Linked DNA regions of Caenorhabditis elegans. Changing the gene in region 1 together with any one later gene gives a genetic interaction. Each region holds a gene or a part of one and is shown on either strand. Other genes may lie near its edges. The genes, in order: F53B6.5 and act-1.

What was found.
Region 2: of F53B6.5 (region 1) and act-1, changing one enhances a phenotype caused by changing the other (phenotypic enhancement), as found in Caenorhabditis elegans (one study listed by BioGRID).

Annotation. Positions count from the first base shown.
Region 1 is NC_003279.8:8,948,735-8,951,740, reverse strand, and holds F53B6.5 (Peptidase_M24 domain-containing protein), read right to left. Parts: upstream 1,294-3,006; coding exon 843-1,293; intron 786-842; coding exon 688-785; downstream 1-687. Other genes in the region: F53B6.13 (Elf-1_N domain-containing protein), read left to right, coding at 71-114, 2,060-2,174; F53B6.7 (O-fucosyltransferase family protein), read right to left, coding at 2,676-2,789, 2,865-2,922.
Region 2 is NC_003283.11:11,078,822-11,083,000, reverse strand, and holds act-1 (Actin-1), read right to left. Parts: upstream 1,950-4,179; 5' UTR 1,929-1,949; coding exon 1,739-1,928; intron 1,691-1,738; coding exon 910-1,690; intron 858-909; coding exon 698-857; 3' UTR 586-697; downstream 1-585. UniProt on the Caenorhabditis elegans protein: Actins are highly conserved proteins that are involved in various types of cell motility and are ubiquitously expressed in all eukaryotic cells.

The DNA.
Region 1 (3,006 bases):
CTTTTTGAGAAATTCGTCAGGAGTCAAACTCACACACGGGGAAGATTCGATTCGAGTGAAGACAAGATGGATGAAGGAGGAGCTAGCGAAGGAACACAGTGATATTTTTTTCCCGTGAGTTTTACAATATTTTTTCAAAATTTAAAAGAAAAAATACCTGCAAGAAAGATATTATCTTTCATTCTTGATTTTATTTCCAACGTATCCATCGAAATTTCCGTTTCCAAATCCATCGAAATTTCCGCTTCCAAATCCATCTCGTTTCGATTAACTTGTTCTACCTAACTCGAGGCCGTCTCTCCAGATGGATCTGAAAATTTTGATCGGAGAGGACCGCTAGTACCTTTCATTTCCACTAACCGCTCATATTTCAACTGCTATGAAACTTTCGACGAGTATACTACATGGCTTTGCGACAAAATGTTTCTACAAAATTACAAATCTGCTTTTCAAAAAAAAATTCAACTTTTCAGAACTGAATTTGATATAAAAATGTAGAAAAAGTTCGTTCCAACGGGAAATTATTTATTTTCGGTGACATTTTTGAAAAATAGTGCCGGAAAAACCGGAAAACGGTAACTTTCCGGCAATACTTGAGATTTTTCTTAGATTTTTCAGAAAAATAAATATAATTTCCAGATGGAACGAACTTTTTTTCATTTCTATTTCAACTTTAGCTCAGAAATGTTAAATTATCAAATTGAGAAGCAGGTTTGCACGTTTGCCGATAATTTTTCCCGCAAAGCTTTGTAGTATACAAGCTCCAACCATAGCCATCCAGCGGTCTGTAAATAGAGTTAATATTAGCATCAATCTAGAAGCAGTAGAGTAGGAACACTTACCTTTGAGAGCCATCAAGTACTTGGTCTCTCCAAGCCGATCAATCCAACAACGGCAGAAAGCCAGCGTGGCGAAATTCTTGTCGATCAAGTTGAGAAGACCCTTCGATTTTTGCAAGCGAAGTGGAATTTTCTCGTCGGCGAGCTCAAAATTCTTCATATAATGCGATGTTTCCATATCATCATGAAAATATCCTTTTCCCGTAGATCCGAACGTCTCAATCGCGTAGATCTCGTTCTCCTCCATCCTCGCCTGTTCACCGCCCTTCACAATTGGAACCGTCTTTTCAGTGTGAATACGGCATTGAGCGATCGACTGTCCGTTGAGACTGCCAATCGGCTTCACCTCATTCGAGTTTCCATGGAATTCGCATTTCGATTCCGTATTCTTTGATTGTGCCGTCTGTGGCTCTTTCCATTGGGTCTGTAAAAAGTTTTGATCGGAGAGAATCATCAGTTCTTGAGCTTCACAAACCGCAAAATCCCACATCGTCCTCCCTTCACTCTGCGATCGCTGAAGTACCAGAGAAGAATCTTTAAAAAAAAAATCTCTGAGTGAAAGTGAAAACGAAGTTGATAAAAAGATAAGACAGAGAAGACAAAGAAACTTGAGAAATGATGTTACTGGGCGTTTAATTTCACACGAATAAATGATTTTATCCCAAAATTACCACTATATCTTCGTGTTTATCGATATATAGTGGACAAAGGGAGCCAAACAAATTTATCAGCGTGAAAAAAAATATAAACTGTATATTAGTGAAAGAAATTCTGTCCAACTCGCAAAATTAAAATCATAATGACGAGAAAATATGCTCAAAATGAATGATTTTGCAAAGAAATGAGTTGGCACGATTTTTCGCGCGGTCCGCAATAGTTTGTCGGTGTCACGTACAATTGTCGACCGTTACCTTTAAATCTTTAAGTCTAGAAGACAAATGTGACAAGTCGACTGGGAAATTTGATAAAAAGTAAAAAATATATTAAATATTGCTCACAGAAAAAATTGAACTTGAATTTGAAGGAAATTGAAGAATTGATGTGTGCTGATGAATTTTTCCGTGGAATTCATACAGTAATATAAAAAATATAATTTTCATAACATCGAATTTAGAATTTTCTTCATTTTAAAATTTGAAAAGTTGAAATAGTGAAAAAGCAAAATAATATAAACATTTGAAAATAGTTCGTGATAAAATTGAATACCAATTCCATTTCAGGGATGAGCTCATTTTCGTCGAAAGTCCAGAAGGCTCGGCTGATTTGGAAAACATGGGGGATTTGACGGAGAAGACTGGCGGCGAGGGAACGTCTGGAGCCCCAGCTTCATCATGAGCTGTTTTTGTTGATTAATTAATATTGCAACTAATTATTGGTTTGTTACTTTTCTTATTAATTTCTTTTATTACTGCTTTTTTTGTTTGTTGTTCAGATGAAGTTATTTTTGTTACGAATTCTGCTACAATCAACCAAAATTATTTGTTCTGGGGCTTTCATGAGCCAAAAATGCTTCATGTCTTTCCGGCCGCTACATTTGGACCCATTTCTACCGTACTCATGCCCGTTCGCAACGCACGCGTGAAGCATGCTTCCTTTCGCAATGCACGCGTGGGGCACGCTTTTTTCGCAACGCACGCGTGAAGCATGCTTGCTTTCGCTACGCGCGCCTGACGCATGCGTGACGCGCGTCTTCGCTTGGTCCTCTCAGACGCGTGAGCGAAGCGTGTGAGACGCGCCACGCATGAGCCGCGAATCACCTGTGTATAAGCCCAAGGTCGCAGGTTCGGCCCCTGCTGGCGGCAAATTTTTTTAAAAACAAATTTATTAATATCTCACTTGCAACAATAGTGAGTTCTCGACCAGGCTGATCAATGTGAGCAAGTTCTGTCAAGAATTTTTCTCCCGCATTTGGTTTTTCTTCAGAACTGTATGTTGATGCGCCAATAGAACCTGAAATTAATGACAAATGTTATGAAGATTCATGTAAAAGGAGAAACTGTTGAACGCGATGACAAGCAGACTTACTAGTACTATCTCTTCTATTTCCTGACTCAGCAGTTGACTTCAGAGGAGCGCTGCTCATTTTTCGACGTAAGTTTGTCGTTAAAAAAAATTGAAACTGATTTTAAAGTTGAAAAAAAAAAACATTTTTGAGATGATTTTCTTG
Region 2 (4,179 bases), on another chromosome or scaffold:
TTGAATTCAGTTAACTTTTTTCCAAAATAAAAAATTAAAGAATTAATTTATTGTACATATAAAACTTAAAACTTAAACAAGTTTGCGTTTTTCTCGCAGAGTTGAATCAATGGAGAAGTTTGTGTTCTTAATTAACATTGTTTACATTTAAAACTATTATCCGTACGGAAGTTATCATACAACCGCCTACACTTCCCTTCCTGTTCAAAGATTTTCTGTTTTCTTCCTATCAGTTCGACGCTTCTCGTCGTTTTTGCCTCCGCATGTTGTGTAAACAGATGCTTTCGCCGCCGTGGGAATAAGAAGAAACTATGGAATGTGTGCTTTCTTTCTCGAGAGACGAGCAGTATCTTCACGAACGTTGCGATTCTCGGAATCGCTCTGCGCCCACTCAAATATCTCTCATGTCGCAACTGTCTTCAACGTATTTCTCAAACAGTAACATTTTTTGGCGGCGAGTGCTTCAAGAATCTGTTAATGGTGCTGATAGACAATTTAGAAATATCAATTTTTAAATTTTTATTCACACCCGCAAATGAGTGAAAGGACAATAAGGACAAAAATGGGGCGGTTTTTTATTTTTTTGGGAAATATGCATGATGTTTCCTTGTTGCACAAAAATATGCAAACAAGAAATAGAAAGCTGGTGGTGACGATGGTTTTGAACTTGTTTGTGCAAGTTGACGAAGTTGTGCATTTAGAAGCACTTGCGGTGAACGATGGATGGGCCGGACTCGTCGTATTCTTGCTTGGAGATCCACATCTGTTGGAAGGTGGAGAGGGAAGCGAGGATAGATCCTCCGATCCAGACGGAGTACTTGCGCTCTGGTGGGGCGATGATCTTGATCTTCATGGTTCTGAAAAAAAATCAATTTAATTTGTTAACTGAAACAAAAATAGAAAACTTACGATGGGGCAAGAGCGGTGATTTCCTTCTGCATACGATCAGCAATTCCTGGGTACATGGTGGTTCCTCCGGAAAGAACAGTGTTGGCGTACAAGTCCTTACGGATATCAATGTCGCACTTCATGATGGAGTTGTAAGAAGTCTCGTGGATTCCGGCGGACTCCATACCCAAGAAGGATGGCTGGAACATAGCCTCTGGGCAACGGAAACGTTCGTTTCCGACGGTGATGACTTGTCCGTCAGGAAGTTCGTAGGACTTCTCGAGGGAAGAGGAAGAAGCGGCGGTGGCCATTTCTTGCTCGAAGTCGAGGGCGACGTAGCAGAGCTTCTCCTTGATGTCACGGACGATTTCACGCTCAGCGGTGGTGGTGAAAGAGTAACCACGCTCGGTAAGGATCTTCATGAGGTAATCAGTAAGATCACGTCCAGCCAAGTCAAGACGGAGGATGGCGTGTGGGAGGGCATATCCTTCGTAGATTGGGACGGTGTGGGTGACACCATCTCCAGAGTCGAGGACGACTCCGGTGGTACGTCCGGAAGCGTAGAGGGAGAGGACAGCTTGGATGGCGACATACATGGCTGGGGTGTTGAAGGTCTCGAACATGATTTGGGTCATCTTTTCACGGTTAGCCTTTGGATTGAGTGGGGCTTCAGTGAGGAGGACTGGGTGCTCTTCTGGGGCAACACGAAGCTCATTGTAGAAGGTGTGATGCCAGATCTTCTCCATATCATCCCAGTTGGTGACGATACCGTGCTCAATTGGGTACTTGAGGGTAAGGATACCTGAAATAGTACGCATAAATTTAATCATCGAATGTATTAATTATTTACCTCTCTTGGATTGGGCCTCGTCTCCGACGTACGAGTCCTTCTGTCCCATACCGACCATGACTCCTTGATGACGTGGTCTTCCGACAATGGATGGGAACACGGCGCGTGGAGCGTCGTCTCCGGCGAATCCGGCCTTGCACATTCCGGATCCATTGTCTACAACAAGAGCGGCAACCTCGTCGTCACACATTTTGATTAGTTTTTAATGTACCTGAAAAATTAAATTGATAATATAACACAGAACACGTGGGGAAACGGTGATAGTATTGAGCAGAATATATATTATATATATAGTGGGACAATTCATCAGGTGGGCGGTGGTAAAAACAAAATCAAATAAGGCGTGACTAATACATTGGGTGAGTCATGAACACGATTTTTATTTTAAAAATTCTTATCTATGGTGTGAGGCATTAATGGAGGAAGGAATACTTTCGAAACTTCAGTGATAGTCTTATCTCTGGTGTTATCTGTTCGCTTATCAAAATGCTGTATTTGAAAAAAGTGTTCAAAACTTATTGCAAAATAGCGAAGAGTAAATAAAAGAAATTGAAAGAAAGCGTGGAGATGAGTGAGCTCTGTAAAACTGGGCACCGTTGCTTTTATACTGTGCCATGAAAGACAATTCTGCGTATTGGATTCACCGACTACACAACGAATTAGTGACTATGAGAAATAGAGAGGATCCAGACACCCGCGGGAGAAGACTCCACCCATAAACTCCCTCTTTCCACGGGAGCATCCCTCTTGCCAAGTTCTTCGTATTGGCCAGAGCCCACAACGCCCTCTAGCTATCTTATCCCTCCCTTTTCTCTTCATTTCCTCACGATCTCTCAGTGATCGGACCGATTGCGAAGGCGAGGAGTCCACGAGAGAGGAGGTGAGAAGAAATATGTGGCAACGTTTTTTGTCTATGACGAGAAGGGTGGGAGGTTTACGAAAACAACAATAACTTTTAGAAAGATGATGGGCGAACAGGTAAAGATGAGTAAATTTAATGAATACGTAAAAATGGTATGACCTAAATAATGCACAGGTAAATTAAAGCCAATAACAATTTACTGGAATTTCAATAGCTTCTGTAGAATGCGATTAAAGACGACTGTATTTTATATTTGGCATAAAACTGTTTTTTTTAAATTTAAACGGATATTTTAACAAAACTACAATATGTTTTAATTCATGTTGAATCTAACGTATTTGAATAAATAAATAATAAGTTATATATGATGGTCCGTATTCACTGTATTAATCGGAATCTAAAAATAGTGCATATTTGTTTCCAATAAATGAATTCATCTTACATGCTCACAATTCTTCAAATTCAATAGAATGAAAAATATACTTATTAATTGAAGGCAGAGCTTGTAAATCACCCCGTTGTGCACTAATGCGAACATGTGTGATGGAACATACACTGAGCAGACATATGCTATACATCTTTTAAGGCTATTTAATATTTTCTTTCCACATTTTGAAATTAATTTATTTTTTTTTAATCTTCATTGATATTGGTCTATGTGTGCAAGCACTTGTGAGGGCGGAAAGATGTTCAGAAATCATCGGGAGAGTACCAACTGATATTGAGGAGCAGAAAAAAAACCAGTGGGGGGGGGGGGGGGGCAGGCAAGAAACTCATGCAGGATTTTCTTGGTATATTCGATGAGATAGAAATACTTTCGAAGAGTTTACAAACATCACAGCATAGGGGATCGAAAATGGCAAAAAAGTCTGCGGACCCAATCAGTAATTGGAACGCTAGTGAAGAATTTTTGCGTGGGAAGGTGCAAGGGAAATTAGATGACACATATAAATACTGGAGGAATCGTAGTCTAGATACCTTTTCACTTGAAGAAACCATAAGCCTTTCGACTTTTCTGAAGGTTTGCTTTTTTAACGATTTCCTCGTGACAGAAAGAAAATGAGGCGTGTATAACGATTAGCGCATATTGGGTTGGTTCTGGTATTGCGCTGCCCGCACAGCAATTGCTGGTTAGAAGAGCTTAAGTCAAACCATTCATTGAAACATACATTGACCGGTTTTGTCTATCCTTTTCGAAGCTATTTTCTTCTCAAGAATATATCCTTGGAAAGCCCTAGAAATTAATGTTAGAATTTTGAAGATTTAAAAATTAGAAAATTGTGAAATGTTCACAATTTTTCGTTGCGCATATGAAGGAATTTCGAAATATTTGCGATGACTCATGCAATTTCTGAGAACCAAGCGCATGTTGAAATGCGCCGCCCTTTTATTTTCTATATCTCCAAAGAAGGAATGGCATTTTCCACATTCCTAGCGATCTCTATATTAATTTTGACGAGATTAACGCCGTTCACCGATACCTTCTCGCCACTTTCTGTTTGACCCGCCCGTAGTTATCCGAAAACGGAGATGAGATACCAGATCCAACAAACGTTTCAACAGAAATATTATTAATTTT